Linked DNA regions of Kluyveromyces lactis. The protein of the gene in region 2 interacts with the protein of the main gene of each other region in a biochemical or structural test. Links are inferred from orthologs where the notes say so. Each region holds a gene or a part of one and is shown on either strand. Other genes may lie near its edges.

Evidence for each region.
Region 1: of the proteins of CAK1 (region 2) and KIN28, one has a biochemical effect on the other in vitro, tested with the Saccharomyces cerevisiae proteins (2 studies listed by BioGRID). The link is inferred for Kluyveromyces lactis from reciprocal best matches to the Saccharomyces cerevisiae genes CAK1 and KIN28.

What each region holds. Positions count from the first base shown.
Region 1 is NC_006041.1:1,321,624-1,328,040, forward strand, and holds KIN28 (TFIIH complex serine/threonine-protein kinase subunit KIN28), read right to left. Parts: upstream 3,053-6,417; coding exon 2,120-3,052; downstream 1-2,119. Other genes in the region: MSS2 (Mss2p), read right to left, coding at 1-557; KLLA0_E14763g (NAD(P)/FAD-dependent oxidoreductase), read left to right, coding at 838-2,040; MRF1 (Mrf1p), read left to right, coding at 3,287-4,477; putative lipase ROG1, read left to right, coding at 4,711-6,417. UniProt on the Saccharomyces cerevisiae protein: Catalytic component of the TFIIK complex (KIN28-CCL1 dimer) which is the protein kinase component of transcription factor IIH (TFIIH) and phosphorylates the C-terminal domain of RNA polymerase II during transition from transcription to elongation after preinitiation complex (PIC) formation, thereby positively regulating transcription.
Region 2 is NC_006042.1:821,441-828,512, reverse strand, and holds CAK1 (cyclin-dependent protein kinase-activating kinase CAK1), read right to left. Parts: upstream 3,297-7,072; coding exon 2,331-3,296; downstream 1-2,330. Other genes in the region: putative mannosidase MNL2, read right to left, coding at 1-1,939; ERG3 (C-5 sterol desaturase), read right to left, coding at 3,857-4,918; putative ATP-binding cassette family ATPase CAF16, read right to left, coding at 5,653-6,474; SAGA complex subunit SPT8, read left to right, coding at 6,769-7,072.

The DNA.
Region 1 (6,417 bases), on a different chromosome or scaffold from region 2:
TGTAAATCCAAAAATTTCATATAGTACACTTCGGCAGTAGCATCGTCATGGTTCTTCAGAGCTATATCAGCAGTTAGTTTGACGGTTAAAGGGTGATTCATTTGATAGAGGTTCTTAATCAATTTCTTTGCATGAGATACGTCATCTTCAGTATTACTGTCTGGATCCTTTAGAACATCAAAACATAAGAGCGATATAGCATCATTGTCTCCGATCTCAGCAGCCCTATCCAACAAAACATTCTCCAAGGCTAATAGGTTCTTGTTGATAGCTTTAGTCTTATGCCTCACTTTCTCAAGAACTTTTTTCATTATCATTAAGTCTTTCCCTTTGATGCTATTGGGTATATCAACATCATTACCAGTGTCTAGTCCCTCATAAAGCTTCTCATACATAGGATATAGCTTATTGTATGCAAGCCGACTATCGAGCTCAAACAATATCCTGCTAACCATCTTCTTTTGTGGGAAGATCTCATGCAATGGTGGCCGTTTGTTGGCTAAACTGGAAATCAGTCTCCTGCTTGATACCAAGATACAGCTTCTAAAACCAAGCATCTCGAACAAAAACAGTTTTAGCTCTCGGGTATATCAGAAGATTCGAATAAAGCCTGGAAGATCTCACAAAAGCCTAACGTTCTGCTTAATCCTGTAGGTCTGCCTTTGATCCATTTGTGCGTAAGAACTTGATGATGTATTTGGTTTTGATCCTTTCCTGGTTAAAATTCGAGTTTCTATAAAATGATTCTTTACCAACCGTTACACATAATCGGATAAGGTCCGATTATTTAAGTTAAAGGCATGAAAGTAGGTGTCAATACACAATCAATATCTATCAATGGTGCTAAAATTCCAAGCTAATTGTCGCTCTTTGATTCGACCATTGTTTTCACGTTTTTATTCGGCTCCTGTTGATTATTCGCATGCTGTTATCGGTGCAGGTGTAGTCGGACTGGCTATTGCCAACGAACTTACCAAAGTCCCAGGCAATAAAGTGATTGTTTTGGAGAAGAATGCAAAGATTGGCCAAGAAACTTCGAGCCGTAATAGTGAGGTGATTCATGCTGGTTTGTATTACCCAGTAGATTCGTTAAAAACGAAGTTTTGTATTGAAGGAAACCATATCATATACAATGAATTGAATCCCAGGAAGACTGGTGTCGATTGGCTGAAATGTGGTAAGTGGGTTGTGGCACAAACTGATTTCGAAGATGCATATGTTGAACGTATGTACTATAAAGCGAAATATGAGTTAAATCTTCCAGTAGAAATTTTGCCCAGTCACAAGACTCAATGGCAAGAGCCAGCTGTAATAGTCGAAAGAAGTGCACTTGTATCTCCAACCACGGGTATCATCGACTCACATTCTTTGATAGAATACCTCTCTGCTATGGTTGATAACCAGGGGGGTGATACTGTGATTGGATCTGAAGTTAAGGATATTCAATTTTTAGGATCTAGCTACGCTCTCCAATGCGTGGAAACGCTGAATGGTACTGCAGAAGAAGTCGAGATTCGTGTAGAAAATGTTATCAACGCTGCTGGATTATATGCAGACAAGATTGCTAATATGATCTTACCACCTGAACGTCAGGTAAAGCAATATTATGCCAAGGGCAATTATTTCACTTCGAAGACTCAAGTTCCAGCTGTGAGAAGATTGATCTATCCTGTGCCTCCCAGAAATGGCAAATCATTGGGAACTCATTTGACCATTGATTTAAATCATCAAGTGAGATTCGGTCCTGATCTTGAATATGTTGACTCTGCGGATGATCTGATCCCAAACCCGCTGAATATTGAAGACGCTGCCAAAACCATCACAAGATATTTCCCTCATCTGCAACCAGGTGAATTAGAGGCTTCATACTGCGGTATCAGGCCTAAATTAGCAGCACCAGGTGACACAGAATTCAAAGATTTCTATATTAAAGAAGAAGAAGGATTCCCGGGGTTTGTTAACCTGCTAGGTATCGAATCTCCAGGTTTAACGTCAAGTATCCCAATCGGGAGATACGTGAAGAAGATACTTCACGGTTAGGAATAACAGATAACATGCAATAATGAACTTTTTTTTCGTACATATCCTCGTATTCTATTCAAAATATATCTAGGTATTTTCATTTATTGAGCTTAGGAAGATCTTGTGGAAGTGTAGGCTCCGGCAATTCCTGGAAATATTGACTTTGTAGACACTTGACTGCATCCCATCTCTTTTTAGGGTTCATTATCATCATCCCACTTATCAGTTCAAGTGCATTTTCCGTAGCCGCTATGAATCTTCTTCTCAATTCCTCTCTCGATGGAGGTGGATATATTTGAATCTTATTATAATTGCTAAAACTAGAAACTTCAGGCCAATCCGCATCAGTAGGAGTTCCTAACGCACGGAATGTTACGTTTATCTGATCAACATCATCTTTCCCCGGCAAATAAGGAATTCTCAACATTAATTCTGCGAATATAACACCGACAGACCAGATATCGACCGCAGAGGTGTAGTGTTTTGCACCAAATAAGAGCTCCGGTGCTCTGTACCATCTGGTAACAACGTTACTGGTCAAAATCTCCTGTGGTGACGCCATTAGTCTGGCTAGACCAAAATCTGCGATTTTCAATTGACCATCAGGTGCTAATAGTAAATTATTTGGCTTCAAATCTCTATGAAGTATGAAGTTTCTATGACAATGGTGTACACCTCTCAAAGTCATTAGAATCCAGGACTTAATATCTGCTGGACTGAACATAATAGAAGTGTCCTTAATAATGATCTCCAAGTCGGCAGGTAGAAACTCCAACACTAAATTCAAATTATCGTTTGCCATGAAAACGTCTACTAATTCAATAACATTCACATGCTTCAACTCTTGTAGAAACTTCACTTCACGTAATGCTGACATGTCAAGTCCATCTTTGAACTGTGAGGTCTTGATCTCCTTCACCGCAATACTCCTTCCAGTGGACTTCTTAGTTCCCAAATAAACCACGGCATACGTACCTTCACCAGCCTTTTTCTCCTTAGTATAGTCATCAACAGTAGATTTTAGGGTCATGGTTTATAACTTCGAGCTCTACCGTATGACAGAATCAGTTCCCAGATCCAACGATGACTTTAAACATCAAATGTCTATCTGCATGTTGGCAGAAGCTTGGACCTTTCTATATTAAATATGAAAAATCTTTGAAAGTTTGATACATATTATGCTATGTAAAGGAAGAAGTGTATGGTGAATCAAAACGAAGTACCATCGGATCTTCAGAGTTAAAAACTACATTCGATTGGGGAAATGATCTCAAAATTGTTTGGAAGAGGAAAGTTCTTTCGAAACGTGGCTCTTCAAGTCAGATTTAACAGTTCTGAAGCCGTCGAATTTCGACCATTGCACTCATCGCTAATATCAAGAGCAGAGCTGTATGTCAATGAATTGCGAGAGTTAGAGGACCTGTTGTCGCAGGGTGGATCCTTCGATCTTGAGAAACAGAAGAATTTTGCCAAACTATCTACGATTGTGGATTCGTATTCCAAATACAGAGAAGAAGTCAATCAGTATAAAGAACTACAGGAGATACTGGAATTAGATCCATCATTACGAGAAGAAGCCGAAGCAGACATAGCAGCACTACTCCCAGATTTGAACAAGACAGGGGACTCTTTATTGAATAAACTCCTACCGCCTCATCCTTTTGCAGATAAACCCAGTATATTAGAACTAAGGCCTGGTGTCGGTGGTTCTGAAGCTATGATATTCACTCAAGATCTGTTGAACATGTACATTAACTATGCAAATTATCATAAATGGAAATGGAACCTAATATCAAAAACTGAGAACGCAAGCGGTAGCGGAGTCCTGGAAGCAATCTTGAATATAGATGAACCAGGTTCTTATGATAAATTGAAATTCGAAGCCGGAGTTCATCGTGTTCAAAGAGTGCCTGCCACAGAATCAAAGGGAAGAACTCATACTTCCACTGCGGCCGTCATTGTGCTACCCAAAATGGGTGAAGAAAGTGAATCTGATGCATACGAGAGGACTTTCAAGCCAGATGAGATTCGTATCGATGTCATGAGAGCCAGTGGTAAAGGTGGGCAGCATGTCAACACTACAGATTCTGCTGTCAGGTTGACACATTATCCATCAGGCATTGTGATTTCAATGCAGGAAGAAAGGTCTCAACACAGAAACAAAGCCAAAGCCTTTGCTATCCTACGAGCAAGGTTGGCCGAAAAGGAAAGGCTTGAGAAAGAGGAGAAAGAGAGGAATGCAAGGAAAGATCAAGTTTCCACGACAGACAGATCTGACAAGATCAGAACTTATAATTACCCACAGAATAGAATCACGGACCATAGATGTGGCTTCACACTATATGATATCGAGGGGGTCATGAAGGGTGAGAGGCTAGATGATGTAATTGATGCTATGGACGCGTTTAGTTCTGAGCAGAAGGCTAAGCAATTACTTCAGGACATGTCAGCTTGATCAAATATTCAGTTGGAAACACCGTTCTGCGCCAGGGAATGATAATTGGATTTACACTGTAAATAGTATAAAATAAAGTTGCATATATGTATAGAAGAAAGCACCCTGAACATCAATCTAGTGTGAAACCTCACTCGAGGGTACGTATTGGTGTATAGTGTGTTGCTGTTTCTCACCCAGTTCTTTATACGAACCATTATACGATTTTTGACTGGAGAAATTGAAGTGTCAAAATGCAAAGTATGCTTAGATACATAATCCCTTCAACGATGAGACAAAATGCAAAGCACCAACGGGATCAGTGGTTAAAAATGACTGCATCAGATCATGATATCATGTACCATTTCCAGTCGTCGTTGCGAATAGGGGAGCTAGAGCGATATATTTTCACTTATGACCTTTATATGGGAGATGAGATACCCAGTGATTTAACGTTGGATTCATTGTGGTTGAAGATCAAAAACATTGAAAACGTGACGCTCAGGGCAGCGTATTTGATGGGGCCCTACGTGTTGTACGCGGATGTGCGAACGAAGGATTACCACCACAAACAAAGATTATTCATTTCTGCTGATCAACCTCAGTTTGAGTCTAATATTCAACCGCAACAGGATTTTATTGCGGAGCTTTCATTGCACAACTTGAAGAAACGGTACGTATGGATTGTTGACATTGCAAGCCAAATCTTATTTACCAAACAGGCATCGATAAACTTTTCTATCACCGTAGGTGGTAGTAAGGAATCAATAAGTGTGGACTCAGCAAGAAATATCCAGTTGGGGGTACAGAGTTCAAGAATGAAAGTGGATAGACTGACTACCGCAGATCTTTGGAATGCATCGTTGCTTTCAAAGAGTGTTTTTGGTAGGCGAAAAGAGCATCTCGTCATTCTTACGCATGGCTTACACTCTAACGTTACGTCGGATTTATTTTATATCAAGGAACAGATTGAGAAGACTCAAAACCAACATGAGGAAATGCTAGTTGTGAAAGGATTCACCGACAATGTATGCAAGACAGAGAAAGGCATAAAATGGCTAGGGACCCGGTTGGCCGAACATATAGTTCATAACCTATACAATGATGCTACTGTAAAAATTTCATTCATTGGACATTCATTAGGCGGATTGGTTCAATCCTTCGCAATTGCTTATATCTCTTACAACTATCCAAAGTTTTTTGAACAGGTTGAACCTGTAAACTTCATAACAATGGCATCTCCCATGCTTGGGATTGTTAGTGACAACGCAGTTTATATCCAGCGGCTATTGGCAATGGGTATTGCCGGTAAGACGGGACAGGATCTCAGCCTACAAACATACAATGGACTTAAACAGCCTCTTCTACAAACTTTATCCAGCTCGTCTGCTTTGAGAAGGATTCTAAAATGCTTTAAAAGCTGCACAGTGTATGCAAATGCTTGCAATGATGGAATTGTACCATTATACACATCCGCACTATTATTTCTAGATTATGATGATATTTTGGATAAGCTTAACATGAATACTGAAGATTTACAGACAGACTTCTTTCAAAGGAACTTCATCTCTCCGCTAACTAAGGCCATGGATATATTGATGCCTCAGAGGGTCTCACAAAACGGAACAAAGATACCTGTGGCATCGATGCTTGATTCTGCATACTCAGTATTGATTCCTCCACTACCTGACAAATCTTATATAACTGATCCGAAAACAAGGAAAGACGTTGTAGTACATGATAAAGTATACAGCGGACAGGATATTCCAGATCATCAATCTAATAGCCAATTGGAGGTCATGAATAGCTCAAATGTTCTACTTAAAACATTTAACATAGCTTTTGGCGGGCAGTATAAAAAATTGGAGGAACAAATAGCAAGAAATTGGCATAAAGACGTCAAATGGAGGAAAGTCATTATAAATTTGAAGCCTGATGCTCACAACAATATCATCACCAGA
Region 2 (7,072 bases):
TTCCCGTATCCGCTACGGTTAATTGTGACCATTCGATGCTATGCATAAGATCTTCACCGATGAGCTTCCATTGATAGTCTTCGGTTATTTTGTAAAGATAAATTAACGACTCAATGAGTTCGAAAGGTGGCCTTGTTGATACCACCATATCATTGACATAAAACGGCCAAGTATGCAGCTTCCAACACAATTGTTCTTCATTTATGTCTTTGACGTTGGGTGAGAAGCTGTGCGCATCCGTGTTCGTATAGTGTTTTGATTTGTCTTCTGTCGTTTCCGTAATTTTGACGCCTTGCTGCATGGTGTTTGATTTATAGTGTCCAGATTTGATTAGCGCAATCTTAGCAGTTGGATCAAACATTCCGAAAGTAGGAAGTTTTCTATCCAATGCCACAACATCTGGAATTTGATCTAACAACTTGTATAATTCGTAATACCCCTTAGTGATAGCCTTTGCTTGCTCGATCAATGATGAATCATTAAACAAAACGCTAGATATGGATAAAAGTGAACTCATTTTAGCACCATCTGGCGTCACCTTGTATTCTTTCCCGATAGAGACTTCGTTTCTATCCTCTAAAACGTCGAAATGAATGTTTGTTTTAATACTGGTTGGAAGCAAAAGATCCTCTAAATCAGATGGAAGCCACGGCTGAAATAGCATTGTGTCATTTATCATCTTAATTGAGTGTAACAACGATTTAGTGATAGACTTTTCAGCCTCTCTTTTCTCAAACAGATTACCGTTATTAAGATGATAAGCCTTCAAAACGGTCAAGTATAAATCGATTGTATCCAGTGTAATGGGATTTCCATCGACATTATGTTGAGGAAGTAGCGATTCCTTGATAACACAATGAATATACTTACCATTTTGCATAGACTTCAAAACGTTGGATTCACGAAGGTGGTCTCCTTTTGCAATTTTTTCATCAGATAAAGGTTTACAACCACTTGCGTCAACAAAGGAAGGGAAAAGGTAATCTATATCGAATAAAAGCACGGATCTTGACATCGTCTGCAAAGAGTGAGAAACAACTGAGTCAAATTGTGGGTCATTAGTTATGTGTGACAAAGTAAGAAACTCAAGTATATTAGTTGCTAACATGCTAGTTTTTGTCTTTTTGAAAGCGTATCGATTTGGGACAGATGTTTTCCAAAAGAAAGGAATCTGCGGTAAATAGTTTGGAGTGTCGTAACTGCGGAGCAACATTTCACCTATTATCGTTATCAACTGTAACAATTCAGGATTCTTCTCTTTCCTATTACCAATTACAGCTAATAATGAACCTAAAATCTCAGATGACCAGACCCGTTGATCCATTGGGTCATCAAACTTATTAAGTACAGCGGTCACGGTAAGAAGTGATTCATTTCGCTGTAAAAGTGAGTCCGTAGACAAAATGGAAATATTTGTTTGCAAATCCAAGTAGGCATGGTCTGTAATGCGGTTTATTCTAGCTGTCCAATGATACAATAGCTCGTCCTTTATTAAAGCGTTCGAATGAATAGATGACACTCGATTCAATTGCGGATACTGTTTGCTAATTTGTTTGTAAGGTATAACAGTTTTTTTCTCATAGAAAGGATGGAAGGGGTGGAATGGCTCCTTACTGTCATAATTTTCCGACCGATACTTCAAGGCTTCGTCGCTATTCTCTAGCAATATGGGGAAATACTTATTCTTTTCAGACAAACTCGACTTATCGGTCAGCTCCTTGGATATTTCATCGTGTGTAATTTTATCTGCAGAACCAGCTACAGGAGCATTATGCGAATCTTGGTTCTGAATCAATGGTAAAGAATCAGTGTATGCAAAAGAATTAAGATGCTCAATCTCATTTTCAAAGGTATAGTAGAATAAAACGCTTGCAGTAATGAGCAAAAGCAGGATTGATCGGCATTTCCTCCATGTATGGAGGAGTAACCTTAGAAACATAGTCCTCTCCTATGTGTTAATGTTCCTGTGAGATCGTAGGTCTAGCTAATGGGATAGACATGAAGTAGTTTATAACTTATCTATTTCGTGAATCCAATATCGTGCTTGTATGTTTTTCTAATTTGAAAACGGATTTTGATCTCATCTCTCAAGGTCACAATAGTCCACTCAAGGACAATAAATCGAGGGAAACTGCCAATGGATTCAAATGAAATTTCTGACAACCGGTATTGTTGTCACCCCGCCGAAGTTTTAAATATGGATACCGAGAAGAAAGTTAGCACACCATCTGTCGAATTGAACGAGATGAAAAGACAGATGTTAGTTCAGAAGAAAGAGATACAAAGATTAAAGCAGGTTCAACATTTTATGGAGCTACAAAGAAACACTACTAGATAGATACCAAGAGTTGCTCTGCCGATATTCTCAGATTACCATCGAATTTGACCATGCGTAGCCACATCTTAGCTAATTTTGGGTTGTCCGTTATGAGAGGCATCCATTTGTACACTTGAATCAGTTGTTCGTCAATTGGTCTCCTATGCAAGAAATTATCGCTTGAAACATTCCCGAACATCCCATTGAATGATTCATTTTTAGTCACCTGAGGCCAATCCTCGTTACTGGGTTTCCCAAACTTATCAAATAAAGTGAGCACAAGTTTTATGTCAGAACATTCGTCGAAATCAATGTCTATCACTTTGCTGCTTTTTGATTTGGATTGTGTTTTATCGTTCCAGAGTTGAGAAATCAACACAGCTAATGCCCAAATATCTATCTCGAATTTGTAATTTGACACGCTAAAGAGAAGCTCTGGTGCTTTGTAAATTGATGTGGAACAATCACAGGTCTTGGCCTCATTATCCAGATTCCTATTGTAACTTATACCGAAGTCCCCTAATACGACTTCATTGTACGAGTTAAGCATGATATTCTGCGGTTTGACATCCCTATGTATAATGCCATTACCGTGTATATAAACTAATCCCTCGATTATTTGTCTTATAATCACTGTCGAGTGATCGAGTGGTATGGTATTTGAATATGTTTTTGTAGAATTATCTAACAAGTACGGATTGTATTTCGCCTTCCAATGTTGGTCCATGAACTGGTTTAAATCGCATTGATACCGTTTGAATTTGAATGTAACATACCTTGGTGAGGTTTCAGAACCGAGCAAGGGTATCACATGCTTATTTGATAGTGTTTTCAAAATTTCTAACTCAGTATGTGCATTATGAGGAGGTCTTTGCAACTCAAGATCTATCCGTTTCACCACAATGTCAGGAAACAATTCTAAATCAGCGCAACCTGTTTGAATCTTAATTGGAGTTGTCATATTTGTCTTGTTTGTCATGTAGCCAATGTAGGTTAGTACGCTATACCCCTAGTCTTGTCAGTGACAAACCCAATGGTTCAGTTTCATGTCCGAAGAGATTAGAACTAATCTATAATTTCCGTTTTATGTCATTAATGTGATAAATGAAGGAAGGACGACAAAAGACAAGGACGACAAAAGACAAGGAAAAGGTGTAGCATTTTGTAGTATCGCAAGGAATCACTATAATTACTAAAATAAAAACACGTATGTTGAAGGTTCTATAATTGTACAAGTAAGTAAGATGTATATATAGATACATAAAAATGGGGAAAGTTTGATCCAACGAAGACAGACATCAATTAACTAAAAGGGAAGAGATGGAAATTCAATTGGTAACAGGTATCCGAGAGAGGGGAAATGAGATATCGTACGAAGGACATGTGTTTATTGTGAGTAGGAGAAAAAAAAAGTAGTCATAATCATAACAGAAAAGAAAACGAGTAGTTACAGTCTTGAATGTAGTTCGTTATGGTGTGCAAATGCATGCAAAGTGGAGTGAAGAGTCTTGAATCGAGAAAGAGCGACTTACAATTAACCTAAGAAGCTTTGGTTGTGACGTAAACTCTGTCATCACAGTCACCTTCTACTTCTTGTTTGATGGCCTCCATCTTTTCGACTTGGATTTCCCAAGTTTGTTTGCTCTTCTTCAAAGATTTGTTGAAAAGTTCTTGATCTGGTTCTCTGTAAGAACCACCCAATCTATCCCATAGGGTAGTGAATTGTCCGTAGTTGTAGTTGAAATATAGATGGTGCACAGTGTGGCAAGCAGCACCGTTAATGACAGGGTCATTAGCCAGATATTCACCGTCGTGGATCATTACAGTCCAGAAGTTAACGAAGGTGAAAAGAATCAAATATGAAATTTTTTGCAATGGGAAAATCATTGGGTAAAGATGGTATGGCACAGATTGCATGTAACCGTCCACTGGGTGGAACGCATGCGACGCATATGGAGTGGTAACCAACCATTTGTGATGAGGCTTGTGCAAAGCCCTGTAAACTCTAGGCCAGTGCAACCATCTATGAACCAAATAAATCAAACAATCGGTGAACATGATGAAAGAGATCACTTCAAACGCAAGTTGACGAATTCCAGCCCATGATTTATAATCGATATCGAGGTAAAGCTTCGAATATCCGTTCAATTCGAACAAGAACCATGGTATAGTCAACAGAACCATCACTGGGATGGCACTGAATGCCTGTTTCATTTCCAACGACATCTGGTTCTTCAAATAACGGGGATGATTGAAAACAGCCTTATCAAAAACGAAAAGGTACGACATCGTAGCGACACTGAAGTACAAAGCCCATCCAAAAATTGTCATCAAGACAAACATCGTTAGCGTTTCTCTAAACAAATTATAACGAGGGAAAATTGATTGGAACGTATAATCAGTGAATTCCAACAAGAATGGTTCATAACCGTACACATCACCAGCTGGCTTGGCTGCAGTGCCGTTTAAATTTCCTGTGTTCAAGTCCAAAAACTGACCAACACTATTGGTAACACTGCTGGGTAGCATATTCACAGGGAATACTTTCCCATAAACGTAATCCAACAGATACGTATCACAAACTTCCAATAATAAATCCATGGTGTGTATTCGAATATATGTATATCAGCTTGGGATTCTCCCTCTACTGTGTTTTGCTTCTATATGCCGACTTATTCCTGCTGCTTTTACGATCTGAATCTAGCAACTAAATCAAACTGGCTAACTCATCGCCTTATATACATATATTATTTATATATCAGTGTGTATAGAAAATATCACGATTTCATTTTTAACTTTTTTTTCACGAAGTTAACCAAATTGAACGATAAAAAACCCGAGTTTTAACGATAGAATGCGAAGAGTATCGAGCCTCATCGGTCCATTTCTTCAATAAGCATTGGCTTGCGAAACCAAGCCGTTCATACCGTTATCACAGCTAGTCTATACGACTAGCTCTTTTCTTCTAGAGTGTTTACGGCGTACTTTTCGCAAGTTGTGGCCTGTTTTTCTGTCGCCAGTTGGGCTTTGATGCACATTTCAGCACCACCCAGTTTCCTTTCTGGTACGGCAGTTTCTGGGGTTTCCTAACTGTTTTTTTTTATTCGCTTCGTATTATGCTTTTCATTCTTTTCGTTCCCTCGAGGCGAAATCCCGTAAACGACGTTATACGATTGGCAGCATTACGTTTTTTAAACGAGGAAGGGAGGGAACCTAGGCAATGGACCGATATATTACTCACGTGATTTATCTTTCGCTTTGTGTATGATTAAAGTCTGATTATGTATATATAGTATATTACAGACATATATCGGTTTGACCGTTTAGAAGTTGAATCAAAGCTTTTGGTCTTCGACTTGGTCTCTGGTCAACCAGTGGAGTGCAAGCGGGTATAAACTCTTCATGTAGCCTAGTATCACGGTGTGTCGTCCGTTGTCCTTTCGCTCTTGGACGCCCTCTATTTCCTTTGTAAAGTGGATATCACGTTGGTAATCCAACGTTCTTGTGATGGTGCCATCTTGCAAATGGATAATCTCATCAGCCCATGGTGCTAGCCCATCGAAAATGTGCGTTGCATACACAACGCTACATTGTCTGTCTCTCGTTTCTCGATCCAGGAATTGGAATAGACGGTCACGTGCCACGACATCCAAGTCCACAGTGACTTCGTCTAATAGCAGAACTTTGAAGGGTTTCAATAAACCCATGCACAGTTGTACACGTCTCTTTTGGCCATCGCTAAGTTTGAACATTCTCCAATTGATATCCACTTCCAAGATTCTCACTAGCTCTTCACCTCGAGCCCTGTAGTGGCTTAGTCCGATACTCTCCAAGAGTTCCAGGACTCCTATATCCCTGTGTACAATAGCCATACTAGCCCATTCAGTGCCTAAGTAAGTAGTCAGTATCACGGACTCCTGGTCATTGTTTGGTGCGAATGGGTTCTTGTTTCCAACTTTTATGTTCCCACCGAGACACAAATGTTTACCACTTAGTAGTTTCAACAGCGTAGATTTTCCAGCACCGTTGTTACCCACCACTAAGACTTTCTTGTTCCATTCGACACTTAGCGATAGATCGTGGATTGCTGAGCGTTTACTTCCGGGGAATGCGTACGTTAGATCGTGCACTTCCACTGCTAGGTCGTTCGAGGCCATTATTTGTTTTGGCTTGTAGTTTTCAAAGGTTTGAGTGACTTGTTCTATAGTTAGATACCGATTGAGCGGTGATTAGAAGCTCCGCCAGTGTATAATAGGATCGTTATCTTGTTGTCTCCATTTGAAAGTGTTCTGATTCAATTTGATATTTGGAAAATAAAACTGTTGATATTGAAATGATTTCAACCAAAATAAACCTGTCTGTACGAATTTAGGACACAGTGAATATGACAGGAAACACTGTAACACATCACAACAAAACATTGTCCTTTCCCACCTAAGCCACGTTCCAATATGGATGATGATGTGGATGAAATCTTGAATCAAAATAACGTTCAAAATACTCAAGATGATGATGTTGACATGGACGATGAATTGGAGGATGTAGATGTGGATGTTCCGAACGCCGAAGAGGACGAGCCGATGGACGAGGAAGAACAAGATGAAGATGCTGAAGATGCCGATGATGACGACGATGAGGATGAAGATCGGAGCGATGACGAAGATGCTGAAGATCGAAGTGAGGATGATGATGATGATGATGATGATGATGATGAACGCAGTGATGACGATGATGACGATGATGACGAGGAAGAAG